Tamandua tetradactyla: one gene and its partners. The protein of the gene in region 2 binds, or shares a complex with, the protein of the main gene of each other region. Links are inferred from orthologs where the notes say so. Each region holds a gene or a part of one and is shown on either strand. Other genes may lie near its edges.

What was found.
Region 1: ARPC1B (region 2) and ARPC5 share a complex: the UniProt entries of both Homo sapiens proteins name them as parts of the arp2/3 complex. The link is inferred for Tamandua tetradactyla from reciprocal best matches to the Homo sapiens genes ARPC1B and ARPC5.
Region 3: the proteins of ARPC1B (region 2) and ARPC5L are in contact, whole or in part, in a cryo-EM structure (PDB 6YW6), measured with the Homo sapiens proteins. The link is inferred for Tamandua tetradactyla from reciprocal best matches to the Homo sapiens genes ARPC1B and ARPC5L. Residues at the interface, in NP_005711.1 of Homo sapiens: Arg118, Lys138, Arg142, Phe164, Ser201, Gly203, Trp204, His222, Asp223, Ser224, Thr225, Leu240, Ala241, Ser242, Glu243, Thr244, Leu245, Pro246, Phe281; in NP_112240.1 of Homo sapiens: Asn21, Lys22, Arg102, Gly139, Leu140, Gly141, Ile144, Arg145, Thr148, Arg150, Lys151.
Region 4: ARPC1B (region 2) and ARPC3 share a complex: the UniProt entries of both Homo sapiens proteins name them as parts of the arp2/3 complex. The link is inferred for Tamandua tetradactyla from reciprocal best matches to the Homo sapiens genes ARPC1B and ARPC3.

Annotation. Positions count from the first base shown.
Region 1 is NC_135330.1:38,564,733-38,572,633, forward strand, and holds the start of ARPC5 (actin-related protein 2/3 complex subunit 5), read right to left. Parts: upstream 3,016-7,901; 5' UTR 2,789-3,015; coding exon 2,646-2,788; intron 350-2,645; coding exon 268-349; intron 1-267. UniProt on the Homo sapiens protein: Component of the Arp2/3 complex, a multiprotein complex that mediates actin polymerization upon stimulation by nucleation-promoting factor (NPF).
Region 2 is NC_135349.1:7,400,370-7,407,922, forward strand, and holds the start of ARPC1B (actin-related protein 2/3 complex subunit 1B), read left to right. Parts: upstream 1-4,551; 5' UTR 4,552-4,629; exon of another isoform or gene 4,630-4,696; intron 4,697-7,553. UniProt on the Homo sapiens protein: Component of the Arp2/3 complex, a multiprotein complex that mediates actin polymerization upon stimulation by nucleation-promoting factor (NPF).
Region 3 is NC_135328.1:46,985,275-46,992,202, reverse strand, and holds the start of ARPC5L (actin-related protein 2/3 complex subunit 5-like protein), read right to left. Parts: upstream 3,021-6,928; 5' UTR 2,867-3,020; coding exon 2,718-2,866; coding exon of another isoform or gene 2,705-2,717; intron 1-2,704. UniProt on the Homo sapiens protein: May function as component of the Arp2/3 complex which is involved in regulation of actin polymerization and together with an activating nucleation-promoting factor (NPF) mediates the formation of branched actin networks.
Region 4 is NC_135331.1:11,179,239-11,186,245, reverse strand, and holds the start of ARPC3 (actin-related protein 2/3 complex subunit 3), read left to right. Parts: upstream 1-3,996; 5' UTR 3,997-4,098; coding exon 4,099-4,104; intron 4,105-6,354; coding exon 6,355-6,454; intron 6,455-7,007. UniProt on the Homo sapiens protein: Component of the Arp2/3 complex, a multiprotein complex that mediates actin polymerization upon stimulation by nucleation-promoting factor (NPF).

The DNA of each region.
Region 1 (7,901 bases), on a different chromosome or scaffold from region 2:
TTTCAAGCCCTTGCTCAAATTTAACCTGTGTGGCCCCCTCTAAAAACACACAGGAATGATTTGTCATTTGAATTCTTTGAACTTATTATACCTACCATGCATTATCATAACTATATTAAAGAGTAATTTTTCAAATCTAAATAGTAAGCTCTTCTAAGTCAAAGACAGTGAATAGCTAAAATAGTTTGCTGGTTTTGTGAAACTTCAGGGGATTTGGGGACAAATGATAAGATCCCAGTAGAGATCACTGGGCTGTCAGTGACTCACCTTCACCGCCTGACTCTTGGTGTTGATGGGGGGATTTTTCAGAGCTGCTTGTAGAGCAGCTGTCATATTTCCTGTGATGGAGGTTAAGGAGATAAAAGCAAAGGATAGCCCCTAGGAAAGCACTATAACTACTGATAACCATTGGTTTTTATAACTTGACTTTTACATAAAAAGGAAAAGTTACTATAGTCACTATGTTCACTATTGGAAAATTCAATGTGCCAGTTTCAAAGATGGCCTTCAAAGGTAAACTACTGAAAACAGAACATTACATTATTTTTTTGTAAAGACTTTTCACCTTTGGTTCTAAATAGCAAATGAATACCTTGATAACCTTTCATATTCCCGTGGGAAACATATGCACGCAATATCCAGAGTGGTATTAAACCCTAAAATACATATCAGAATTATTAGGTCCCCTAGCAATCAAAATGTCTTTTTTATGTGATTATGACTAGGAAAAAAAATTAAACTTTTACCAAAACTTTATTCTATAATAGTTGAAATTCTGGTAGAAAATCCTGGTAGATTACCCTGGCATCTCAACAATATTATTAGCATTTCTCAATATTGATGACAGGAGACATCACAGAAAGTGTAATAACACAAACGACCCTTAGGTGGCAGCTTAATTTTTCTGTTTTGGATATATTCTTTCAGATCATTCAAACTGTTTTAGCCCATACCTATTACATTTAGCCTCTTTGAAAGCACCACTGGGTTAGCTACTATGAGAAACGGAAGGCCAATCAGACTATTAGAATGTACAGTCATTCCCCTAAAAGGAAAACCACTAAGTTCACTTATTTCCTCCATCTCTAGTGCTGGGCTCCCTCAGAGAAGGCAGGCTTATCTCCCCTGGTTCATAACAAAGGCTGAAGAGATATCTTTATATTTTAAGATAAATTGATTAAAAATCAGATCCACTGAGAGGACTACAGCACTATTATTTAAGCGTCATACAAATAATCTAAAATAGGCTAAATTAGTCTTACAAAACTTGATTTATCCATCCTAAAGAATGTCAAAAAGAATAATATTTTCCACTTATCTTCCGGAGAAAAAAGTCTGTCCAAAAAACTCAAAGGTTGGTGATAAACTGTTATTTTCAAACTTCTAGCGAAGCATGCCTCTTGTAGATTGGTTCATTTTTTAAGATGCAAAACATATCACAAATATCGAAATAATGCAAAATCGTAACTGATTGTGAAAGTTGAAGAAATCAAGGGAACATATGTACGTTGATAAAGCCAAATATAGTTGTACCAAATATTTCCCCCATTATAATTTAATAGAACATGCATGAGGAAAGAGTATGAAAAGCCTTCCTTCTTTTATGGACAGGAATAATTAGAAAAGCATGAAGTTCAGCCCCCCAAAATCTGAAAAACTGCAGCTTGTATGGCAACATCTACATTTTTCTAAAAAGATATGATGCAAATGCGAATAACTAAATATGATTACTCAAAATACGCAAAACCAAAACCCAGGCACTGACAGTCACATTTTAACTAAAACGGAAACAATTTTAGGGATTCCAAAAATGTTTCTGCTTTATACAAACGACTCCTCTTCAATTTTACTCACGGGAATTTATTTTAAATATATCCACGGGTTCTCTTTAGGTCTTCCCCGTTTTCTACCAACCTTTTCTCGAGCAGGTAAAGCACTCCAAGCTTCCTTTCTTGGGAATTTTGTTTTGTACTCACTCCCCTCCCCTCAGTTAAATGCCCCCCCCTCAGTTAAATTTTGTGCAAGCTGTATTTTGCCAAATCCTTTTTTTCTTAAAAGAAAAAAAAAGGAAAAAAAAAAAGGCAGCAGTAGGTCGTGGGCTGAAAAGACCTAGGATCTCATTCTGCGAACCGCGGTATCCCTCCTGGCAAGGAAGAAACTATTTCAACGCAAGAAAAAAACAAAAACAAACAAAGCCACTAAAGAAACATGCCCTTTCCCCGATCCGAAATTTCTGGAGCGACAGCGAGTCTAGTAAAGACCGTTCTAGGGAGAGCACAGAGAAAACACAGCCCTACCGACAGGCACCTAATTCCTTCCCCAGCGCAGCGAGGGCGAGGCTGGCGAAGCCTGTTCCCCAGAGGCAGGAACTCCCGGAGCAACCTGAGGAGTCCGGGCGCGTGGAAGGCGCGTTCGGAAGGGCAGGTTCCCCAGCCTGGGACCCTGAGGTCTCGAGGCGGCTCTGTTAGAATCGGAGGGAACCTCTCACTCCTCAGAATGGGGCCCCCAAACAGGAAGGTTCCACCCGCGCGCCGCAGGGGCAGCTCCGCGTCCGTCCCGGGAGGGGTCCCTGGCCCTCCGACCCCGCGGGGTGGCGGGGTCCGGAGAGAAGAGCCGGGTGGGGAGCGCGGGGGACGCAAGGATATTGCCGCAGGCAGGAGTCCACCTCGCCTTCGTCCGGCCCGGCCTGGCCGTCGCCTCCGTCTTCCTCGTCCACGAACTTGTTCTCGTCGTACTCATCCACGTCCACCTTCCGGAACCGGGCTGACGACACCGTATTCTTCGACATCCCTGATGCGGACCGACGGCAAAGGCCTCCTCTTGGTGGGGACCGCTCCTCAACAACCCCAACCCAGCAGAATCCGCAGCCTGCGCCTTCACTTCCCTCTTCCGCTCTGGGGCGTCGCCGGCAGCCGCGGCTCAGGCGGTTCTGGGCCTGCGCGGTGGCCCCGCTCCTTCCTCCTTAGGTTCACGCTCTTCTCCAGCCTCCTACGCCCCGGGCGCTGTCCCCAGGAGAGCGCGGCAGGGAGGGAGTGCGCAGTGCGCATGCGCAGACTCTCCGCAGGAAAGGGGCGGGGCTGGCTGAAGGAGGCGGGGGCGGGAGGGGGCGGAGTAGGAGGCAAAGCGAAAAGCGGTACCGCTGCCAAAGGTAACAGGCAATTGGTTGTCCGAAAGCGTCACGTAATCCCGAGGGGGTTCCCATAGAAACGCTTCTCTGCGGTCCAGTCTGGGGGGTCCGAGGTTGAAGGCTATGGGCGCAAGGAGCCGGCGGCCTTGGCTTTTGCTGCTCTCCCGGCTGAGCTGTCATTGGAGTTCTGCGTAAAGTCCGGCTGATCTGGCCTTACCCATGGGGTGAGATGGACTGGTTGCCGGACCGAGTTCCCTGCAGTTGGCAGGAGGATGGGGAGGAGTGGTGTACGCCCGGATGCCCAGCGTCGTTCTAGTTGTCGGAGACATCGCTTCGGACACCGCGCTTCAGGGGACGGTCTTCCCAAGCTAGGTCCCCTCCCCGGGTTTAGAACTACATCGTGCGGCCAACGAGAGGTCCCCAAGGACGGAGTCGAAAGGTCGTATTTTATTTCTCAGTGCTGTGTGACAACATCATGACAGGACCTGCAGAAGCTGAACTCGGTATCGTGTCCATTGGGAAGGAGGGGAAGGTGGCTGGGAGGGGCGGGGGTTGGGTGGTAAAACCGGAGAACCTGTAGAATTTGGTCAGTCATTATTCACATCTTAAAATAGGTGGTGGTTTGGAGCAAGAATGCTAGAGGAGGGTGGGGGCAAGTTAGGCTCTCTGGTGCTGAGGGGAAACAGAATGTGTTAGGATTCGTAGAAATGAGACCCTTAATATTTATATTTATGATATTTATATTGTTATAATATTTATATTATGATTTATATGGTGCTACTAGGCCAGCTTTTTATTATATTTGGCATCCCCATTTCCGAGACTAGAGCTGTTATTGAGGTAAAGCCACTATAAAAAAGGTAGCTGTGCTGTATGTATTACAGTGAAGTACAAATTAATTAAAAGTTCAAATATATGCAGAATAAAATTAATTTGAACATTTAGCTGGACACAGCTCAGGTGGCTTCATATTTTCCTGCCATTCTATCAGATCCAGTTTAGGTCCTCCGTTAGCAGAAGGCTGACTGTTGCCCCTGTTGAATAACTCAATACCTGGTTTTCTGTGGTGTATTGAAAAGAGCACTGGGCTTAGAATCATAAAAACCCAGACTTGAGTCTTGGCTACAATTTATAATCTGCTTGAGGCATGCAATTTAAAATTTTTAATCTCAGGTTCCTCATGCCTAAAATAGGAATAATGGTGTGTATTTCATAAGATTCTTATGAAGATTAAATGCACAAAAGTGTTTTGAAGCGCTAAAATTCTGCATTAATGTAAAATGTATGTTACCTGTACCATTGATTTGGGGACTAGCTTTATAAATTGCTAAATGATATATTATGTTTTAACTTGCCCCCAAAAGAGATTGCAAAATTCTGAAGGACAGACCATATAGATAGATAGATAGATAGATAGATAGATAGATAGATAGATAGATAGATAAATATATATATATTTACCTTTCTTTACATCTGTCATAAAGTTAAGCTTGCAGAAGGTACTCAATAAATGCTTGGTGGAGAAATGAAGTGTGAAAGGCAGTTAGGTTGAAAACATACTGAGAATAATGAATCACTAAGAAAAGGAAGAGAGACCTCAAACCTTTGAGAGAGAAAGAGAGAGAGAGAGAGAGAGAGAGAGAGAGAGAGAGAGAGGAAGAAAGAGAGAGAGAGACATCTCAGGAATTGAATGCATCTTTTTTCCTTGGGAGAGGAAAACAATGTGGTATTTTTCATTTCTCGATTAAATTACCCTTCTAGAAGATATGTCATTTAGGTGACAGAAAGTGGCATTTCTTTAAATTAACATTCAAGTTTTAAACAAATATACTGATACAAACTCCCCTAGGACTGTAAAACAGCAAAGACAAATTTTCTACCTGTTAGTAATATTTATTTTAAAATATCGGATACCAAAATACAAAATTATTGCTTATGGTGAATGGCGTTATATAACTTAGAATAAAGGTTTGTTTTAATATTTGTTCTCAGTTTAAATCTTCTGCTAATTTTAGTAAGAGCTAGACAACATACTTATTTAGATTCTAAAGATGATTGTACTTTTTGTTCTTATAATTCAGGATTTTCTTTGAAGAGAAAATTGAGCATTAAAAGCACTATTGAGAGTAAGTGGCAACAAGGATTCAAGAGTTAATAATCCCTTCTCTTACATTTCTAGTCTTTTGTATTAAGTCTTGTTTAGGAAATCTTTCTATTCTCTTATTTTAGAACTGAGAAAGACTTACTGGGTAAAAATCAACTTAAAGGGAACAGTGAGGAGAATTTTTAAAAATCGAGGTTGCTCAAGGGTATAATGGTTTTTATTGCTCAGAATTTTGCACTGTATGTTGAATGTGTTAAATGTAATTAATTCTTAGCCTCAAAATACATACTACATTTCAGATGTCAAAAAGGTTCTTTTTCCACTGCAGTATTTTTTACTGTCTCACAATGAACTAAGTGCCTAGGTACATAGTTGGTGCTCAATAAGTTTCTATCAAATGAGTTAATGATGTGACAAGTTTTGGAACAAATATAATTTTGGAATTATATTTAAAAACTGAGTGTTTTTGAATAGACATTAATACCCACGTTAGCTAATAGTTAAATCTTTATAAATCTTAGGGAGATGTTTTGTGAAGAGACTCATCCTTAGTTATCTTTTTTTCTTTTAATTAGGAAATACACATTGTACACATTATCCCACTTCCTTGCAAATTTCCAAATGTTTAATGTTAACTATGATATTTAATTCATTGTAAATAATATTAGTCTCCCTATTTTACATTTCAAGATGAGTACTTGACCCTGAACTAAAGAATCCATAAGGTTTTGAGACATTTGATTTTTTATGTAAATAACCTGGTTTGGACTACTACTAAAGCGAGACAGAATGTGAATTTTCTAAAAGTTAATGCTGCATGATAGTATATAGCTCCTTCTAATTTTCTATGATGATGCAAAGTCAAGGGTCTTATTAGTTAGAAGAAACTTTAATAGCATGATCCTATAATAGGTCTTCTCAGATAGTTTAAACCAAGAATTTTACTGCCCATGTGCTTCTTTCCCTTAAATTTGTCTCTAAATATTTAAACAAATGAAGTCATTGAATTTTGCTAGCATGGCACTATTGTTTTTATTATTTGGAATCAAAGTGAACTCAGTGTTAATAAAATATATCAGATGTGTGTTATAAATACAAAATAAGTATATTTCAGTTATGGTGATGATGATTGTGCCCGTTTGAATCTGTTGTGTGCTCCAGAAAAGCCAAGTTCTTTAATCTTATTCAGTGTCGTTGGGTGGGATCTTTTTTATTGTTTCCGTGGAGATGTGACCCACCCAATCGTGGGTGGTAACTTTAGATTGTTTCCATGGAACTGTGTCTCCACCCATTCAAGGTGAGGTTGCTTACTGGAGCCCTTTAAGAGGGAACCCTTTTGGAAAAAGCTCAGAGCCAACAGAACCCACACAGCCAGAGGCTTTTGGACGTGAAGAAAAAAAATGCCCCCTAGGAGTCGCTTGAAAGGAGAAGCCAGAGACCCCAGCAGATGCCAGGCATGTCTTCCCAGCTAACAGAGGTGTTCCTGACCCATTGGCCATTCTTGATCCAAGTTATCGTTTTCTGGATGCCTCAGTTTGAACATTCTTATAGGCTTAGAACTGTAAATTTGCAACTTAATAAATTCCCTTTTTAAAAGCTGTTCCAGGGAATATGAGGGTATTTCAGTGGTAGAATTCTCACTTGCCTTGCGAGGTACTCTGGTTCGATTCCTGGCCCATGCACTTCCCAAACAAACAAAGAAGCCAACAAAAACAAACAAACCATTCAACAAATGGTGCTGCAATAACAGGACACACATGGAAAAAGAATGAAATGTAACCCCGCCGTACAGTATACAAAAAAAAAAAAAAAAAAGCTGCTCCATTTCTGGCATATCGTATTCCGGTAGCTTACAAACTAAAACAATGATTTAATATCAATATTATCTGGCAACATAATTAGTACAATATAGCAGATTTTTTAGTGCATTACCCATGTACTCTATTAAGGTTTAATGTTCCTATTTAATGCCCAAATCAACTGATCCTATTTAATGCCAAAATCAACTGACTCTGTGTTGAAACCACCAACTTTCAAAACTTCAAATTTTTTCTTTGTGATTAATTTTAGCTTTACATAACTTTATGACTACACACTGAATTAGAGTAGATAGGTTGAACTATTTTACAACAGAACTTAAGACTAAAAACATATATCAATCCATACTATTGTTTCAGGAAAAAAAAATTAGTGCTCAATGAAAGAGTGAACATTGTTTTGTTTTGTTTGTTTGTTTGTTTTTGTATGCTGTATGGCTGGGTCACATTTCATTATTTTTCCCTGTGAGTATCCCATTATTGCAGCACCATTTGTTGAATTTTTGTTGGTTTGTTTTGCTTGTTTGTTTTTTGGGAAGTGCATGGACTGAGAATCAAACCCAAGTCTGCTACATGACAGGCAAGAATTCTACCATTGAACTACCAATTGCAATCCTCTGAAATTGTTTTTTAAACGTTGTTGTGAATGAAACTTTTTCCCCCACTTAATTTTCAAACTGCTTATAATGATATAGAGGGAAGCTATGGATCTTAAAAAAACATTTATTTATTCTCTATTCTTTCCCATTACTAGGATATCTTAATGCTAATAGTTGTTTTAAGGTGACTTGTCTTATCTTAGTATGCAATTATAATATTTTAAATAATGAAATTTACATCTTCTTTCCCAATA
Region 2 (7,553 bases):
TCTGACATGTCTTGTGGAGAAAATACATGTGTTAGATAAGCTTTTTTCAGGCATTAGTTATAGCACTATTGGCCTTGAGTTCAATGTTAATGAATCAACAATATATATTAAATAAGGTGTTTTTAAAAGAAACACATAGAACAAGGGTATGCATTGATTGATGAAAATATTGCCACCAAAGGCTTGTAGAACCTAACCCTGTATTTCCCTAGGAACAGTGGTTCAGTATTCACTAATTCAGTGTTCTCGGTGACTTTATAGAACATAACTACCACAAATAACAAGAATCAATGGTATGTATTTTCTGTATAGTGGCAGAATAGCTTAGATTCTTAGTTTCATAAAATGCAATGTCCCATGCAACCTACAGGAATCATTTATTGAGAAAAGAACCATTTATTGAATGCTATTTTTCTGCAAAGTAGCTGTACTATTCCCATTTTGCATCCAAGGCAACAAGGAATCCCACTGCCACTAAGCAGCCTATTCTGTGAGATCCAGAGGTATCTGCCCCATGCCGCAGCAGGGGCAGCCTCTGTGATGGTGCCCCCACAAGGGCCTGCTGCGAGGGAGTATGCATCGGGACAGAAGGGAAAAGGTGTCATTGTTGATAGAGATTATTGTGCCCAAGCCCAGTTATTTTCATCATTCTGAGAGGTTAAGTTTAACATCCCAAGGCCAAGAATCTTTAGGGGTACAAACCAAGCATATGTAAATGAATAGCAAAATAAATGAGAATGGTCTTGTTAGTGACCTCACTGACAGGGAAACTGGAACTAGTCCATACACCCCTGCCTTTAGAGACCGATAGCAGTATCTAAGGGATATGATATTTTCAGAAGACTAGTTTTAGCTTTTTGTCGATTCATAGAAAACCTGACTGCCCTCCAGGAGAGAAGCCATTTGCCTGGGAGGCTGGCCTGGTGCACCCACCTCTCCCTGTTTGCAGTTGTGCTCTCTGGACACTCAACGGCAGGGGTTTGTTGTGACTAGTGTTTGTACCACGGCATCAGCAAGGCTGTCACCAGAGAAAAGCAGCCACTGAAGGTGAGCTAGCTAAGAATTTCTTTTTAGTTTCATTAAATCACACTGTTTGGCGTGTAAGCCCAGAGATTTTTAGAGAAACAATGGATTCCATGAAAGAAAAACAAGAGCAATAGCAAAAAAAAATTTTACTTTCAGTCAAGAACTTATTAGTCACATATATATATACTTTTTTTTTTTTTTTTTTTTGATGGGGGTTGCATTTCTCACTCTTGTAAGAAGGCCCATCCTTGTTACAACAGCTGGAAATCTGTTCTTTACCGCAGTGCCGGGGTCATGAGATTACAGCAGCTCCCTCCTGCTCTCACCCTACCTTTGAGACTCAGATCAGGTCTGAGTCCACAAGGACACCAATGCGGTAGTTCTAGGTGGCTGCTGCCTGCCAGGACATGTTGACCAAACCCTTTGATGTGACGCTTTGGTGTCATATTACAGTTCTGCCAAGCTGTGTGACCTTGAGCAACATCTCTGAGCTTCCGTGTCCTCATCTCTGAAATGGGGATGGTACATGATAAGTGTTACATATTGGGTACCCAGTAAAACAGGGTTTGCTTTCAGGCTTGGTACTAGCCCTTTAGTAGATGGCTGGAGACCCTTCATAATCATAAAATGGAGTAGAGAGGGAAGAGGTGGATAAAGGATTTTGCAAACCAAAAACATCCAACTGTTTTTTCTAGAATATCCTGCTGAGAAAACAAGCCTGCCTCTAAACCCTGGTCAATTGTTTAGGCATGAGTCTTCAGTTTGGCTCAGCAGTTGTCATACAAGTGCCCGAGCTCCTCGGTGTGCCCAGATCTGGATGCAAAGATGTGAAGGCCCAAGGTGTCTGCAGTCTGGCTGAGGAGAGAAAAACTACCCTGTGGGGAACAGTCAGGACAGAGCAGCATATAATTTATATACGGGGTCAAATGTTAAAATGTGTGTGTGTGTGTATATAATTTAAATAATAGGTGTGGTAGGCAGAATAACAGAACTCCAAAAATGCCCATGTCCTAGTCCCCAGTCCCTGTGAAGAGGTTACCTTCCATGGCAAAAGGGACTTTGCAGGTGCAGTTAAATGAAGGACCATGAGATAGGGAGATTAGGCTGGATTATCCAGGTGAGCCAGTGTTATCACCTGGACCCAGTCCTGGCCAATGAGATGAGTGGGGAGAATGCTGGGGGCTCCTGGGGATGGTTTTCCTCCTTGTCTCCCTCTGCCTTGGCCAGCCCACAGCCTTCCTGCAATTGCCCTGCCTGAAGCCTGGCCATCATCTTGTGACCAGGAGGCAAAAGGCCAACACAGTGAGGAGAAGGAAGGAGCAGAAAGACAGAACTGTGATGGCCTGGAGACACTGCACCAGTTCTGCACTACCTTCCTCCAAGTCAGTCAGCCCTGAGGAGTCTTGGCCCGGCTGGCTGTGAATGCACTTCCTAGAAACCCGAGAAGGTGGAAAAGAACACGGAGGGTGGCACCTTCATCCCAGGGCACCATGGGAAGTGGATTCCAGGAAGAAACAGAAAGCACTCCAAGTCATTCTCGGAACTGCAGATGAAACTTCCATGCCCAAGCTGCCCTCACCCAAGGCATTGCTTCTTTTAAAATTTACAAAACTTTGTCCCCTGAGGGAACCATCTCAAATAATGCCTCCATCTCTTCCCAGTTTAAGATTTGCTTTCCCATCCTTTGGATCTTCCCACTATAACTGCAATTACCTTCACTGTAAGCTGTGGAAACCGAGGTGGTACAAAAAGTGTGACTTGCCTGAGGTTACACCACTAGTTAAGTGACAAGAGTCAGAACTGGATTCAGTCACTCATTCCACAGATACTATCAGTGCCGTCTGTAGCCCGGGCCCTGCAATACAAACTTGGCCTCTACTCTCAGGGAGCTGATGAGTCTGCTTTTCCTCCAATCATACCACCTCAGTTCAGTTTTTACCATTATTAGTGACAGGGATTCCTTGGGTGTGTGCATTTGTTAGGATACTTTTGGTAATGGGTAACAGAAAAACTCAAACCAGCTTAAGATAAAGGACATTCCCTGGTGCACATGGCCGAAGGCTCCAGGGGCAAGTTGGGCTTTGGGCCGGTCAGCCAGATTGACCAGGACTCCGGTCAGGGACGACCCTTATCAGAACCACGTTTCTCTCCCCTCTGCATGTTTCCTGGTCGGCTGCAGCCCAGATCTGGCTTCCCCTCGCGGCTAGAATCACCCAAAGGGGCTTCTCTTCTCTTGATCATCATCAAAAGTCTTGGGCTTGGCTTTGGGCCATCTTAGGTCACAAAGACAGTTCAGCATACTCTGGGCTGGTTGGGTTAGAGATGGGGGTCCATTCCCCCAGGGTGTCAGTCATGGGGGAGGGATAGAGTGGAAGTCAGGTGGCAATCGTGCCACCTATGAGTTCAATTGCACTTGTCCCAACAGGAGGGGGTGCCAGGACAAACCATTGGAAACTGCTCTGGTTTAACTAAAACCGTGACCTGGATTTGCTGAGGCTGCTGGGACCTGTTTGAACCAACCTACAGGAACAGCAAGACAGGGGAGCCCGGGCAGCAGCGCCTCAGCGTCCCCCAGGGGGTCATGCTCACAAGTTCACTGGGCACAAACACCTCAGTTAAAGTTCACTGGGCACAAACTGTGCTCCCTGGGTGAGGGGCTCCACAAGTTGACCCATCTCATCCTCCCAACCTCAGCCGGTGGCTGGCAGGCGTGTGGTTAGGATGGGAGCTGGGTTTGGGGACACAGGGCCCCTCAAGTGGGGGTGGGGGCGACATGGGAAAGGTATTCTTCAGCCACATCCTGCAGGACAGACCAAAGTTGGCCAGGTGAGGAAAGGGTGGGAAAAGTGCTCCAGGCAGAAAGAACAGCCTGGGCTGAAGCAGGGAGACCCGGGAGGGTTGGGGGAGTGGCCCCAGGCCCCTGGAGCTCCATGGGGAGCCAGCCCCCCTTCGGCAGCTGCCTCTTGCTCTGTGGCTAACCTTGGGTGAGATGAATCCTAGGGAGAGGGGCCTGCTAAGGTAGAGGGGGCAGGTCTCCACCTGCCCAGCCACCCGGCCACATCTCCATTGACAAACCCAAAGGCCCCTAGGGACCACCTGGTCCTGCACCCACATTCAGGGGCCTCAGGCAGACTGCCGGGGAATGGAAGGTCAAGAAGTTAGCCTTAAAGAAACCCTGCTGCCCCAGCCAGTGAGCGGGGAGCGCCTGCGCGGGAGGGGGTGTGCACCCGGGTTTGCTGTGAGGACACTGAGGGCCCACTGCTTGGCCACACCCGCCCTGCCCACCCCACCCCGCCCCGCTGCGACTCAGACCCGCACCCTCCCTTCGAGCCTCAGTTTCCCCACCCAGAAAGCAGTGAGGGGTGGTCACGGACGAGACGACATCTGGGCGCTTGGGCTCCGACGTGCCAGGACGGTGCGGGGGGCCTGGGAAACGCACGCCCGGATGGGGTGGGCGGGCCCTCGGAGCTCAAGGCCGCCGCCCGCCCGGTCCCCGCCCCGGGTCCCCGCCCCCCGCCCACGAGGAAGTGGCTGCGGCGCCGAGCGGGGCCAGAGCGGTTCGGCGCGTCGACTGCCCAGAGTCCGCGGCCGGGGCGCCCCGAGGTGAGGGGCGCGGCGGCTTCCGGGAGCTGAGGGGGCGCGGGGGGGCGTCACGAGAGGCCGCCCCGAGGTGAGGGGGCGCGGGGAGGGCGCGGCGGGCTTCCGGGAGGCCAGGGGTGTCAGGAGGGCGGGGGCCGCCTGGAGACGAGGCGGGGCGCTGTCTGGAGGTGAAGAGGGTCTCGGGGACCGCCGGGAGAGGAGGGGGCGAGGGGAGTGCGGGCGGCGGGGCCGGGTCACCGCTCCGGGCCGAGGGACACGTAGGGTCCCCGCGCCCCGGGCGCCGTCGGGGCGGTCGGGGCCGGCAGTCCTGACCCCGCGCGCCGTCCTCCGGCCTCGGCCCCCTCCCCCGGCCCCGCGTCACCCCGACTCTGCCCCGCGGGCCGCCTCCCCCCCGTTATTTGGGGTCGGGAGGGCCCCACGCCCAGCCACTTCCCCTCCGTCCTCGGAGCCTTCCGGGTTGCTCCAACCGGGAAATGAGCTGGCGCCCCACTCCCCGTCCCCCCCACCCCGTCGGCAGCACATCCAGTCCGTGGAGCCGCGGGTCCCGCCGCGGGGGGGGGGGGGGGAAGGCGGGCGCCGGGGGTCTCGAAACTGGCTCATGCGAGCTGCGGGCCCCGGCCCGAGCGGCCCCGCCCGTCCCCGCGCAGGGCCCGCAGCGATTCCAGCCCCGGTTCGGGCAGCGGCAGGGCCGGGCTGGCCCCGAGGGCGGTGATTGCGACGCTCCGCTCGCCCGCGGAACGCAGCCTAGGCGCTGAACCGCGACCCCCTGGGTTCATTCCCGGCCGCCCCCCAGGCGCCTTCTGCCCGGCAGGCAGTGAGCCGGGGGCCCAGAGCAACTTTGAGGTCTCCCGCCTTCCTTCACGGACCTTGTGTGACCTTGGCTAGCGCCTCACCTATAGTTCTGAGCCTCAACTTTGCTCATCTGGAAAATGGGCATCTTTCAGTTTGCAAGGCTGAAGTGGGATGATGTGTGTAAACGGCTTAGCAGTGTCTCAGACGCAAAGTAAATATGTGTGCTGTTACCTGTAGCTATTTTAAAAGGCCGGCCCACGTTTAGTCAAGGCATCTCCCCGTGGGAACCTGACCTCTGAGATTTGGGGTTAGAGTTCCAGCTGTGCAGTTTGGGAGCTGTGTGTTCTTGAGTCAATAATTGCTTTTGTCTGAACCTCAGTTTCCTACTGTACAAATGAAGGTTTAAAACAAAACAACTTCTTAGGCTTGCTTGGGGTTGGGGGGGAGGTTGTGGTGGTAAAAGTATGCATGTGAAAGTCTTGGGTAAACTATGAATTTCTTGACAAAATACCAGTGAAGTTAGTTTAGTAACAGTTAAATAGCATTTCAACATGTCAGTGTCACAATTTACTTTTTCCATATTTGTAATCATCTGGATTTCTCCACCTTGTCCCCATTATAAATAGCATTGTTATGAACATGACTGCTTTTAGAAAAAATAAAATAATCTTAGGGGCTGTTTTACTTGTGTCAAAAATGGATTTATGCAGCCAGAGAGTGTTAACAGTTTTTAAGTTTCTATTAATGTAACTTAGCTCTGTTTGTATTACCCAAGTGTTGAATTAAATGTTATCACTCTGCCTTTCAGAAAGACTGAACCAATTAGCAACAAGTGAGAATTTCTCCACAGCTTTGTCAGCATTGAGTTTTATGTGTTTTTTTAATTATTATTTTTTTTGGTCTTGTTTGGATTACTTTAACTGTCGCTTTATGGTATCTTATGATTGTTTTAATTTGTGTTTCTTGATGTTACTGTGCCGGGTATGTAGGACTTCAAGTGCAGAGTTGGGGAGGAGAGGTTGGCTGATCTTGCGTGGTGGGGGCTCCTACCCACAACAGGAAGCCATGCAAAATGGCTCCTGGCAGCTCCCTCAGCAGCTGGGTGGGGACTTCCATGAGAGCCCAGATCCTGCTCCAGGCAGTTCCTGCTTGGTTTAGCCTCAAATAATGCTGCAATTTAGCCTCTGGACTCAGAGAAACCTGGCAGAGCCAGACAAAAAAAAGTACCTAAAGCCTGTGCCTCTTCTGGGGAAGCACTGGCCTGGGGCACTCAGCCGGTATGGAGAGAGGCAGAAATTGAATCCAATGCTGTAAGGAAGAAGAGCGCCGAGGCTGAGGTCCTGAACAGAATCCTCCAAGCCACATAGGTGAAAGTGGCCTGGCTCGCTTTGGAGAGGACACTGTATTCTCTCCACTCTGAAGTCAGAAGACCCACTAAGACTAGGTTTACAGGTTTCTCTGATCATTAGCTCCAATCTGGAAAAAATGTGAGCACATAACTCCCTGATGAATATTTATAAGTTGCATACATGTGACCCTGAACGAACACAGCATGTTCTATGTAGGACAACCCCCAAGACAGATGTGAAGAAAAGGATGTGATTTACTCATCCCACCACATTTAGTAAATATTTATCGAGTACCCAGCACTCTAATTGGTGTCGGGGACATATCAGTGAACAAAACAGATAAATATCCCTGTGCTTCTGGCAATTATGTTCAATGATACAAATTTTTCTTGACAAAAAGGGACTTAAAATTTTTTTCCACACCCTGGGGCATGGTCTTGGGCACCTCCCTTGATGGAAACGGCACCCCACTTTGGAGACCATGGATCCAGAAATTCAAAACCCCTTCCAGCTCCCCTGCAGGGAATTGAGAAGGATAGTGACTATTAAGGGGCCCAACCTCAGGCCTCCTGCTCCAGCGCTCACCCCCAAAACTATCCACCACTCCAGGCATCCCCCCCTGGGGCCTGGGTGACCACACTCCATCTGTGCTGAGCACCTACTGTGTGCTGGACATGGGGTGCAGAGAGGTCCTGGTTCCAGGCTAGGGGGAGCCCGCTTGGAGCCAGCTGCCCTGGGGAGCCTGTAAAGGGTTTGGCCTGCATTCTCCCAGCCCCACTCTGATTT
Region 3 (6,928 bases), on a different chromosome or scaffold from region 2:
GCTCTGACCCAACTTCCATGCTGGAGCAGCAGCTAGCCCCCTTTATCTTTCAGCTTTGGAATTCCTTCTCCCTAGCCTAACAAGGGCCAACCTAAAATCAGCCACTATAACTATCTCACAACCTTTTCTAATTTGGGGTCCCCAAAACAATAAGCAGGGCTCCAGAGGCTTCGCAGGTAAATTGTAGGCTGAATACTCTCCCTAGGGGAGAAGGGAGTAGTGCAAAATCACTCAAAACCACTACTCTAGACAGATCTCTGGCTCAAGAAGACAGGAACCTGTTTCAATAAGGAGAAAAAGGAATTAATACTTTAAAACTCCTAAAAGATCTCAGATCCGATGCCAGGGCTTCACATGTCAACTACTGCTAACAAGGATCATTATTTCCACTTTAAAGTCAACGAAGCTGATGCTCAGAGAAAGGGAAATGATCTGCTGGAGGTCACAAAGCTTAGCTATTCAGCTGGCCTACAAACCCATGCTTGCATGACTCGAAAGCTAAGTTCTTTCCAACCCCATGCTACCACAACAGTGACACACTCAACTATGTCTGGGATGGACACTTGCTGTGTGCGAAGCACTGTGCTGGACCCTTCTGGGTGTTGTTCCATGACAGGCCCACAGATTCCAAGAGGCCAGCATGTTCACCTCCATTTAACTGAGGGGGGTGCTCAGGTTCAGAAAGGGCATGTGACCCACCCAAGGCCATACAGAGCATGACAGGACTGGATCTATGTGGATGCAAAGTCCATGCTCTTTGTACTTCATCTGTGTGATTTCCCATCATGGCATGCTTCCCAATATAGCAGCCTTAGGACAAGACCCCTTGTCACCTTCCCCTACCCCAAACAGTCCTTCTGCTTACTTCATTCTGCTCTGTCCTAAGACTCCTAGAAACCTGTTCTACAGTTTAAATTAAATGACCTAATATAAGTCCAATACCTGGGCACATGGTAGGGGTTCAATAAATACTCGTTCTTTCTTTCTTCTTCCCTGGGTTCCCCACTTGCGTGGATTTCAGTTTTCATCTACTAACCTCACTTTCCCCTAATCCCCAGAGGTACATGCTCCAGTAACAAGGTTTCTGACATTGTCATTACTGAAGAAACTACCATACCCAGATGTGCTAAAGCCTAAGCCTCCAAGCATCTTCTAGGGACTTATCACCAATCATGGACATAGAAAGAGATGTTCCTGCAGCAACAAGACCAATGTAGCAGTTAACTAGGCCTTGGTCTCCCCATCTGTGGAATCAGGGTACTGAGCCACAGGCCCTACAGCCAATCATCACTGCCTGCCCAAAAGCTAGGTCCTCCACCAGGCTACAGAATTAACCTTCCCTCCTGGGGACTCTTCCTATGACCCCATTTTGCTAGTGGGGTAAGCAAGGTGATCTTGTTGAAACAGCAATTACAAACTTGAATTCCCATCTCTAAAACCACATTCCTGTTCAAACAAGGTTTTCGTTTTAAAGGCACACTGGAGAAACCTGGTGGGGCTCCTCCCAAAGACAGTCTATGAGTGCAAGCTGAGTCAACTGATAAAACACGAAGACCCTGATTTATATACTGCCTGAGTCTCCAACCTTGCCAGGCAAGTGCAGGGGGAAGGGAGGGCACTTCCTGTAAAACAATTTGAATAAAGAAAAATACTTCCTGTGAGAATAAGTCAGTTTCCTGTGCTCAAACTGCTAAGGTACCAAGTAGGCTGTAACAACCACCTCTATTTTTAATCTTGTTTTCCAAATGCATGTTTCCCGTGGCCACAAGAATAGTCATTTCCAGTCAAGTAGCTCTACTTTTACATTTTACTTTACCCCCTCTGGTTTTTCTTAGCTCTAAGATACTCGTTTTTTCTGCTGCGTCCCGCACAACATACACAAAAAGGCTATTGAGGAAGCCAAACTTCCTTATTGAGCATAGATGAGACCATCAGAGTTCAAAGCCCAAGGTGTTCAAGAGAACTGACAATAGGTGAGAATGAGTAGCATTAGGCTGGAGGTTCAGATTGATCCTGGGGTGTGAAGTGCACACACTCAGACCTCAGGGCTCGACTAAGGCCTTCATTACTTCATGAGTCCTTTTTTCCCCCGCAGCCAACCACCCACCTTTTCTCACGCTGTGCTGCAATCGGATCCAAGAAAGCCAGGAGAGGGCTATGCCCGGGACCGCCCTGGCCACTCGATTACTCAGGAGTGGCTCACCTCAGCCCCTCCCGCCGACTAAGCCCGTGAATGGCCCCGTTTCCTGCGAGAAGATGGAGTGATCAGGCGCTCAAAGAAGGGACAACCTGGGGATGGGGGATGGGGAAAGGAGACAAGGGGGAGAAATGAGAAGAGGCCGGGTTAAGGAGTGAGGGACGTCCGAGGTGGGCATGCTACAGGGGCCGTCGAGTGAGCCAGCCCGTTCACCAAGGAGTAGGGCCCGAGAAGGGCTGCGCTGCAGTACAGGGAGGCGCCGGGGCCTGGGATAAGGGGTGGAGAGGAGAACCGGTCTGAGGAAAGCTGTGCCGGGGATGAGAAAACTGGGGAAAAGGAGCTTCAGTGGAGTCGTATCGGAAAAGAGTTGGACACTTCGGTCAGAGGGGACCGAAGCTAAGAGAGTGGGGAGGCTCGGCCTGAAGGGTTGGAGCCCGGGATGAGGCAAACAGGATGGCCGAGCCAATTAGCCCAACCGAGAGGAGCGTGAAGGCCAGGCCGCCGCACCGGGGAAGGATATTGCCGCAGGAGCCCGTCCACTTCGCTTGGGTCCGGGCCTGGCTCGGCCGCCGCCGCCGCCGCCTCCTCTTGCTCGTCCACGAATTTGTTCTCGTCAAACTCGTCTATATCCACTCGGCGGAAGCGCGAGGACAGCGTGTTCCGGGCCATGGCGGGGGGCTCGGCGCCCGCCCAACCACCTCGACTCTGGCGGGGACCTCCACTCAGCTATGCTCGGTCTCCGACTCCCGCTCCGGCTCCGGCTCCGACTCGGGGGGCGGGAAGCGGCCGCTGGGACCGCCCCCACCACCTCCGCGCGCAGCCTCCACCCGCCCATTTCCGCCTTACGCCGGAACCGGAAGCACCTATGGCTGGGCGGGATGAAAGCTGGTGGGATTCCGGTTTCCCCCGGTCGGAAAAATCGGGCACTCGCCTAGGTGGTTTCTTTGACGCCATACTTTGATCTTCATAGAACCTGTCTGCCCATCGCGGGAGTGGACTCACCTTCCCATTGCAGGCCTGGTATCTTGTATGCCTTAATTGTGTGCGTTCTCCGGCTTCCTCCTGGCCTTGGGGGGTGCCGGCACCGACACAGCCGCAGATATCCCGGGTGAACTCTACCCGAACCGAAGGGACACGAGGCCCACAGGGGATGGCGCCCGTCCTGCCTGTCGAATGCTTGTTCGGCTTCTAAGAAAAGAAATCTTCCACCCGAGCCCTGACGAATGAATAGGACTTTTCATACTCCGGGGGGGAGGGGGAAAGGGGGAGTCTAAGGGTTTTGACCCCACCACGTTGAGCACAGAGACGACAGCTTCTGCCTTGTAGGCCTTATGCACAAATGATCCCGTTATTAAATGAGTGGGAAGGTTTTTGGTTTTTTTTTTGCATAGGTAGGCACCAGGAGTGGAACCCGGGTCTCCGGTATGGCAGGCGATTGCTCTGCCTACTGAGCCACCGTGGCCCGCCCAAATCAATGGGAAGACTTAAAGACCGTGTATCCAGGGGACTGACAAGACGCTGAAGATATTTCGCCCTGGGGGTGCGGCGACCATGCATGTGTGACGGTCAGGAGAGGACGATGACCCTAAGGCCACCATCCTGACAGGAAGAGTAAGGGCCAAAGGGTTAAAGGAGTGGGGCTTAGAGAGACATTTCTTTATGGGTAATAAAATGCGCAGAATCTGTGATGGGGGAAATCGAGGGGTCAGGACAGAGTCTAGGAGTGCCCCAAAGTACCAAGATTAAGTGCTTGGGCTTTCGCTTGAGGGATTTCGTTAAACCGTCTTAGACTTAGGCTGAATTGGGTCTTTTTTTTCATATAACAGTATTCTTTTTAATAAAGGCCAGTAAATGAAATGTGAATCTTTATTATTGCTTTGGATATTTCTCACTGAACTGAACAACAAATCAAAAAAGTATTGCCAGACTATGATGCTGTCTAATCTTGGATACTAAAGATAGACTGCCCCCTCCCCCCCCCCCCCCGTGGGAAATAGGTGCTGAATAAAAGTTATCAGGAGTCCTGGGAAAACAGACCGAAAAAAAAACAGTGGCATTTCATTTCAGCTCTATAGGTGGGAAGAAATCGTTTGTGATCCCAGGGAGGCCAAGAGAGGAAAAATTCATACTCCAAGGAACAGCCTGGTCAGACAGGATTTTAAATCAGGACTGCCCACTTTACATGGAAAATAGTGCCCAAATAAACTGGTGAACAAAACAATGTCCTTTCTCCAGATTGTGAACTTCCATGCTAGTCACAAATTAAAAATCCACTTATACTCTAATGGATGACTAAGTACTAAAGGAAAAAAAAATCACACTGTGCTCAGTAGTTTAACTTAGAAAAGGTGGTCAAAGCTGTTCCTGAGGAGGTGACACTGAACCTGAGGGAGGAGCCAAGCAAAGGCTTAGAAGCAAGGCAAGCTTGGTGTATTCCAAAAACAGCAAGGATGTATGCTGGAGTATGCTGGAGCAAAAGAGTGAGATAGGATGGAGGGGACAGATGATAAAGGGCTTTGCAGGCCAAGGAAAGGAAGTAGTCAGCCCTGTAAGTGCTGAGCAGAGTTATGATCTGGCTTGAGTTTGAAAAGGGTCTCTAACAGTTGTGTTTAAAACACATCAGGGCTCCCTAAGCCCAAATCTGCAAATGAACTCTTAATGCACCCACCCACCCACCACATGGGATGGGACTTTCAGGGGTGTAAGTCTCCCTGGCAACATGGGATATAACTCCTCAGTGTAGGACATGGCCCTGGCATTGTGAGATTGACAATGCCTTTTTGACCAAAACGGGGAAAAGAAATGTAACAAAATAAGGTTACAGTGGCTAAGAGATTTCAAATAGAGTGCAGGCTATTCTGGGGGTTACTGTAATGCAAGGTTCAGCTAGAGGCTGCAAATTGCCAAGGTATGCAAGGCCCAACCAACAGTATTCCTGAAAACCCTAGAGAATACCCAGGGATCCATCTGAGACTCTGATCGTTTCACACACTAAGTTTATTTTTCAGAAACCTAAAACTTTCAGATTGTTCCCATGCCAGAGAAGTCCTAAAACCCAGAAGTACCAGTCTCTCCAAGAACGTTAATCAGTTGCATCCCCCATTCCATAATATCAACACCCCTTCTCAACATGAAGAAGTTCGAATGGTCATGGCCCAAATATCCCTAAAGTTTGGGAGAAGGATCAAATGAAAGAGAAGAGTTGTAAAAGAGAAGATAGGATTTAACAAATGAGTATGACTACCTAGTCATTATACTAAAATTTCTTTTTAGTCTCCAGTGTATTAGAGCAGCTAGAAGGAAATACCTGAAATTATGGAACTGTAACCCATACCATACTTTGAAGTGTGTCTATAAGTATTTGTTAAAATGTATCTTGAAAGCTAGAAGGAAATACCTGAAATTGTGGAACTGTAACCCATACTATACTTTGAAGTTTGTTCTATAACTATTTGTTAAAAGGTATCTTGAAATCTCTTTCTTTAATGCATATATGGTATATTTCACAATGAAAAAATGCTTTAAAAAATAAAATAAAACACATATGGGAGAGATGGCCAAAGTAGGGAGGCAATTTAGGAGGTTACCACAGTGTCCACATAACAGGCATGGTAGATCAGGTTAGAACAGGCCTATGAGGGTGGTGGGAAGGGGGTGAGATGTATTCTGAAGGTAGTGCCAGCAGAATTTGCTGATGGTTTGAATGTGGTTTTAGAGAAACAGGAATCACAGATGACCTCAAACCTAGAAAAGGTATACACAGCCAATAGCCGTAGTGGAGTATGAGCGTTTGGAAAGTATGACAGCAAAGCCCCTGTGCACCATTAGACTTTGATTTAAGATTAATCCATGCCAAGATTGTCCTGTCTGACCTCTCTTCCCTATTTCCTTCCACTTTCTGGAAGCTTGCCTAGGTGCTGTGGTCTGAGGTAAGGCTCATTCATTCATTCTATCCAACATTATCCAAGTACTGTGCCTAAAGACTAAAAATGCCAAATAGGTGTTAATCATGGTTCTTCCACCAGGGAACTTCCAGGTTGAATGTGGAGACAGGCACATAAACACATCATCTCAGTATAAGCTAAAGGGAGTATGAGCAGAGGAGGTTGCTATCCAGACCAGAAAAGGGAAGGCTCCTTGGAGGAGCCTGATAGCAACAGGGAGGCCTCAACCAAACCTCTGAAAGATCTGTGTCTTTGTTAGAGCACCGGAGCGACAGTGGAGCACTGACTGATGCTTACTGGGTGGGGTAGCAATGGAACTTCCCAGGCAGGAGGCCTGAGGTTCTTCCCTATTTTGTAAATACTTTATAAGTTCCAGGGCCCAAATCAAGTTGTCCGTTGGCCTGGAAACATTAATACTAATGATATACATACATATGTATACGAATCCCCCATTACGCACACAATACCGATATTCTGAGCGATCATTATGCATCAGGCCCTTGTGTTTAAGAACTTTGCACGTATCATCTCTAATCCTCATAAACAACCCATTTCACAGGTGAGAAAACTGAGACTCCAAGAGAGAGGAAGGGACATGCATAGGGTCGCTGCCAGTATCTGGCAACAAGAGCAAGTATTTCAAACTTGGTTGTTTTGTTTCTTTTTTTTTAACCATGAATGTTCTTTCACCGCCGCATGCAGCCTCCATTAGAACGTTTATGCAGTTGGAATACATTGTAGCTGTCTGACCCGCCCCTGCCCTCCCACCTCGCGGTCCAAAGCAGGG
Region 4 (7,007 bases), on a different chromosome or scaffold from region 2:
GCTACAGTTAAGACCATTCTAACTTAATTTACTATGTTTGATTTTTGTTGTTTTTGAGTTTTTTGGGGGAGTGGGAATTACTGTAACAAAATTTACATGTGTATATATAATATGTCCAACAGAAAAAATCTGGAAGGATACAGATAGGACCATTGCTTTATATGTATCTTCTAATTTTCCTACACTAAAAATGTATTATTTCTATAATTAAAAAAGTAAAAGTAATTGTGTTGAGCTAGATATTTATATATGTTACATATATAAAAGAAACATTAAGGTTGCACAAACCTTTCATTACCCTCTTGTTTTGTAGTTAGAATTTTAAATACTCAGTGAGGTCAAATGTTTCAATGAGTAACTTTCCCTAAGTAACAAAACATAGGCAGTGATGTTTTTTAATGCAGTTTGTAGTCTTTGAGAGTTTAGAATAAGAAATGATGTAATTTTTCCTTTTTAACTTCTTGCTTCACTGTTTCTGAGTTCGTTGGGTTGGGTATGTGAGCAGGCCCTGGGAAATGACTAGTCAGTCTATGAGTATTTATTTCTCTAGCATCCACTATAGGCCAGGCTCTGCTAAAGTCAGGCTGAATCTCTCATATTTAGTAAGTGCTGCTATGCATTATGCTGAGAAGCCCTTCTTTACATAATTCATTTAATCCTCCTAACAGACCGAGGTCATTCAGTGAGAGATCTTCCATCTGATTCAAATTAAGCGCTTATAGAAAACCTGGATCTCAAGTTAATTTTTTTTTGGGGGGGGGCTTGGTAATCAGTATATTATGGAGATATTCTTACATTTAAGAATCGCTTAAGTTCTTATATCCAGATTTAAGCATGTAAACATAAGAAACCAGGACTAATCAACATACATATATATATATTTTAAGGCATAGTGGAAGGGAATGCAGTTGTAGAAATGCCCTCAAGAAGCAGCATATTAATGATAAGCTTCTTTAAAAAGCTGTCGTTTTTATTATTGATACCACACACTAAAATTATTACTGTGCCATCTTCAAATAACAGTTTATGTAATAGAATAAATGCAGAAGCATCACAACAAAACCCACTTAATACAGATCCATAGCTTAACTATGGGGGTCATACGCATACCTATACCTAGCATTTCACTCTAACTTCATGTAATCAGTGAAAAACAATTTCAAGGTATTGCCTAACAAAAGCCAAGGGGAATTTTTTTTTCTAAACCAAAAATAGTTTTAACAAGTATTAAACTTCATCTTGCACACTGAAGTCATTATACATACAGGGCAAAGTGAAAGCTTTTGTATTTGAATTTATTCTTCATTTAACTTTGAAAACATTATTATAGTTGAATATTAAAGCAAAAACAATAGCAGGTAGTGAGCATATTATGATTACAATCTTTCACTTATTCACTACTGCATATAAAATGCCAGTAGTGAGTGTTGCTCGCTGGTCCCCAGTGGGAGGATTGACAGTGAATACTACCTCTGGTATGAGGTTCATCATCCTCATATGTGTCTCCATTGTAATGGCAACATCTTTCCTGATTGGGATCAAAGGCCGCCAGTCCTACCTGATTGTTTCATCAGTTTCTTGTACTTCTTTCCTCTTGGGAGTTTTTCCAGCAAAGACAATTTATCAGGAGAGAGAAAGCCATTCTCAGAAAAGTTTGCTTTAAATTGGATGATTAGGCGACCCTTTCCATATGGTCTATGATAAATTGGCATCCCTTCATTTAACACATGCTTGATTTTTCCATGCTTGACAGTCTGATCTGGTGAGAGGTGGTGACTGTGGTTCAGTTGTCAAGAGTAGATATTGACTTTTGGGAGCCACACAACTGTTTTAATCAGCTGTATGTCCATATACATGAACAGGTCTTGTCGAGTAAAAAAATAGCATTATCCTTCTGATCTAAAACAATGGCAGTATCTCCTGGCTCCAGTGCTGGCTCTTAGTCTCATTCACCGTGGACTGTTAGCTTCTGGCTATCTTTCATGCTTTTGTCAATGTAAACTTCTAGAATCTATCCTTCTTCCACTGCAGTTTTTTAATCTGTAGAACTGATCCATTCCCCGATCTGTTCCTCATGGACCTGGCACTCCATGCAACGGACTGAATTTGCTGAACCATTCCAGGTCCTATCTGATGAAATCTTATTTGGATGCCAGTCCCTTGGCAATTGAGACAGCGCTCTACTGATCCTTTCTTACCACCTCACCCTTCACATTTGTGGCAGATCACATTCTTTTGCAGAGCTAGTTTTCTTGTTGCACCATTATATAAATCTAAGGTTACTGAGAGCTGATGTACAACATTTTTACCTCTCCCTTTCTCTCTGCATCCTTCTACCATCTCCAAAAAATCATAGCAAAGATGTCCATGGGAGGAATAAAAATCCCCACCTGCTCCACCCTCTCTGATGGCCTGTCTCCTCCTTTGTCATATAATTCTTTCTGTGCATCAGAGAGCACCTCAAATGCTTGGGAAATTTATTTAAACTTCTTGACTTCAGTTGGGTTCTTATCAGGGTGATATTTTCAAGGCTAGTTTCCTATAAGCCTGTTTCAACTCTTCCTGAGTGGCATTGGGTTTGGCCCCAAAATATCATACTAAGTAACTTCTTTCACCATTTTCTACTGCAGGTGAGTGGACTAAGCAGGTAAGGCAACTGGAAGGAGCACTCTGCTGTTGAAGTTAAATTTTAAATCATTCTTGTGCTTAGATAACATAAGTGCACCTGCAACATCACATTTTGACTAATCAAATGCAAAACGTGAGGAAACCATAGGTACCTGGTAACTTGTGTCTGGGGGCTCAGGCCAGGGGCAAAGGGCAGTCAGGGAAGAATATAACATAGGGCGTTGGGATGTGCTGGCCTGCTTGGGAATATTCCCGGGCCCTCTGGTAATAAAAGAATTAAGAAAACCCTGATCTCCAAGCATTGATAATTCCTAGTTAGAAATGTCATTGTCACATCCAGGGGTAAGAAAGAAAAGGTAACTTTTCACCTGCCCTCTTCATCACCCTCTTCTTGGCTCCTTATGCTTAACTTGTCTAGTTTCACTCCTGGTACGTTCCTGTAAGGAAGAAGTGAAGGGCCAAATTTGGTTTCCTTCTCCTTTGGACACAGATTTCAAGGATGAAAATGACAAGTCCAGTCTTCAAAGATTTCACTAACTTGTAGGAGGACCTGACATGATTCTTTAGATAAATTTACTGGTTCGGGGTTCTGTGGATGCCAGACATTGGGAATAAAATAAGGATTAGGGTAGACAAAGCCTGACATTCATAGAACTGGCATGCTGGGTGGCTGAGCCTAATTATAAAAAAGGAAAGGAAGATAATTTCAGTGGATGAGAAGTCAATTTTGGGTCATGTGGCAAGCAGGGAACATGTCCAGTCTGATAGACTGGTAGAAGAAAAGGCCCCAAGGCAGGATTGAGGTTGGTTTAAAATGAGGTGCTTTCTAGTAATGGGCAAAAAACTCCTGAAATTTAGTATGTTCCAGGTGTGTCAATTCTAAGCACTTTTCAAATAATTCCTTTAATCCTCACAAGTGAAGTAAGTATTGTTATCCCCATTTTCAGATGGGAAATTGAGGCACAGAGAGGTTACTTAACTTGCCCAATATTATGCAGCTGGGATTCAGCTCAGTCATTACACAAAGAATTGTAGGACAGAATAATACACAAATCCTTTCTGTGCTCTCTAGTTTCCCTGTTTTTAAAAACAAGTGAATTCTGTTCAGTCATTCACTCAACAAACATTTATTGTTTACTTTGTACCATCACTGTTAACAGGCACGGGGGATACAGCAGTGAAGAAAGTGGGCAAATTCCTCGCCTTTTTGACGCTCGTATGGGGCGGGGGATAGGAACAATCAATACTAAACTCAATAGTAAGAGCCCCTGCCTAGTGCTCGGGCGCCCCCTGGCGGCTCTTCGCATTCGCGCAGCCGCAGAAGCCAAGGGAAACAGCCGGAACTTCCCCTCTTCTCCTGGTCCGCCCCTTCCGGCTCACTTCCGCCTACCCCGCCCGGGCCGCCAGACCGGAAGCCCCGCGCTAGGATTTGATCTTCCTCAGCTGGGGCCAAACCTGGGCACCGTCAAGATGCCGGTGAGGGGTCCGAGCCGGGGGCGGGTGGGGACACGGCTGGGATCGGGGTGAATGGCGAGAAATCGTGTGTGTGCTGAAAGAAAGGGCCGAGAAGGCAGAGGGGAAGCGAGGACCTGAGGAAGTGGACATGCGAGGGGAGGGGGTCGGTCCCTGCCGGATTCGCGGCAGTTAGGGGGTGTCGGCCTTGGGGGCGGGAAGAGTGGGCTGAAGTCCCGGGGCCGGCTGATGAGGTTGCCCCAGCCCTTCCGGCTTCTTTCTCTGAAATTCCGACCCTTTCTCTAGCCCCTTCTTCTCCTCCGAGTCAGAAGGGTTCCCGAAGCCTCACTAGAGCCTGAGCCCAAGCCTAAGTTTTTTTACTTTTCATATTTTAAGTCTAGGCCCCGGCTTCTATTTCCTTTCAAGCCCACTTCCTCCTCCGCCCGGGGGCGGGTCTCTCTCGCTGCTTGTCATCTGTCAGACCCCACTTCCCGCACTCCTCCCCTGTCGCACCGGCAGGGGTGGCCATCCCCGAGCCAGCTGGGTGTAGGGCTCCCAGAACAGACTCGAAGGCAGCACCTAGAGTGCAAATGTTCCCGTTTTCGTGTGTCAGAGTGAAAGTAAAAATTGATAGTCTGGTTGTCCTTTATTTCTGACAGCCAGTCAGTGGATATTTTAATCGCCAGCATGGTCTCTGTCTTCTAGATTAGAAAAACGAAGGTTTGGCAGCATGTAATAATTCATACAACAAACATTACCGAGCAACTACTGCCTGCCAAGCACTATTATAGCAATGAATAAGACCAATAAAACCCTGCTCTTAAGGCGCTTGCGTTCTGGTGGGAAGACAGACAATAAACATTTAAACAAATAAAAGAGAGTTTCACGTAGTGACAAGTGCTATGAAGGAAATAGGTAACGAGAGTGACTGGTGAAGAGGGGGCAGAGACTGCTTTAGATAGCGTCTGACAAGGAGCAAGCTATAGTTTCAGATAAATAGATCATGAATCTTACAACTATTACCTTTTGACTCATGTGTACAGGGCAGCTCCTGAGCTACATGCTTTGTGTAAATTATCCCATTCAGTCTTCACAGTGACTCTGTGAGGTAGATACCCTTACTGTTTCCATTTTTCAGAGACTCAAGCACGTAATTTTTACAAGGTCACACACTAGTGATAAGGATGTATTTTAAGCCATTATTCTAAAAGCCCGTGCTCTTTCCAGTTGCACATAGAGCACCCTGGACTTCCCTTGTGATTACTTTATTAATGTCTGCCTTGTTCATTAGCCTGAAAGTTCTCTGAGGGCTAGACTAAACTGGTTTTGTATACCAAGGGACCTTGCACATGGAAAGTGCCTATTGTTTATGGAATAAATGAATACAAGACTGGGTCCATGTTGTCTTACAAAAACCAGCCATCTTGTAAAAGCAGAAATGGCATGTAAATTACTCTCGTAAATGTGATAGTTTTCTTTCCTTTAACTCATACCTCTCCACTGCAGGCAAACTGTTTCATTTTACAAACTTGGAAACAGGCTAAGAGAAAAAAAGTGATGATGGTCAAAGGCATAAAGGCAGGAAGTGGCAAAGCTGAAAAGCTAGTACTTGGGTCCTGGTAAATGTTTTGATAACCACTTGGGGGAGAGTAACCCTAATTTAGTTAGCGTTTGCCTGTTTCTGAAGTGTAACTGTTCCTACCGGCTACCAGTATGTTGCCACTGAGTACAAAATTGGGGAAAGTACAGTAACACACATAATATAATATTCCTTGCGTAAAGGTACAAAAGGTGTAAATAACCTTAAGAACATAGACAATAGTAAAATATCATTTAAAAAATGAGTGAGTGAAGAGTTTCAAGTATTTATTACCTTTGGTTTTGTGTTTTTTTTGTTTTGTTTTGTTTTTTTACATGGGCAGGCACTGGGAATCAAACCCAGATCTCCTGCGTGGCAGGCAAGAACTCTGCCTGCTGAGCCACTGTGGCCCACCCTACCTTTGTTTTTAATATAATTTATTTAGTTGTAACCTTTATTATTGGCTGTTAAAAACACACCACCAGCTTGCAAAATTCATCAAAATTTAACGGTCGGCTTTCTTGAGCCAGGGTAAGAGCCAGCTCCAACAGATCACTGCTGCCATTCCTTCTTCCCCTCTCCCAGTAAATCTTGGGTGTGTTATTCTTTTTTTCCTTTGGGGAAATGTGCTTGTCTTCTTTGGTGATATTTGCTCTCTTTCTGCTTCTGTATCCTCACTTGGCTTGCTGTTCCAGGCTTACCACTCTTCTCTCATGGACCCCGACACCAGACTCATTGGAAACATGGCACTGTTACCTATCAGAAGTCAGTTCAAAGGACCCGCTCCTAGAGAAAGTAAGTCTAGATCTCTTTTCATTCTTTTCAAGTCTTGGTATAAAATGCATAGCAACCCTCTGACATTATCAAATTAGGAAAATTCTTAGGTCTCTCCTCTGCCTCAGATTGTTCTCATACTTACTACTTACTTGGTGGATGCTGTGTTCTAGACCTTCAAGATCTTTGTTAAGTGTGTTGAATCTTATAGAGAACTATTGTTGCTGTTCATTTCTCCAGGATATTTTGTTGAGAGAGAAGAGGGAATGTGCCTAGTTTTGAACACTGTTCCTGTCATCACTGTCGGTTCTTTCACATTGATCTAGTGCTGCCATCTCTGTAGCATGCCATTCCCTATCCTTTCTCTGTCACCGAGCTGGGGGGAAAAAAAACATTTTAACCTCTTTCCTCATCTAAATCTACTTTATCCGTCCTTCAGGATCTTCATTTTGAGTAATGGCTCGATTTTTAAGATTTTTTAAAATTTTGGAAAATCTTGAGTGTCTTATATAACAGTGCTCATTTCTTCTTTTGCTTTTCTGAATTTTTTGCTTTCTTTCTTGATATGCTGCCT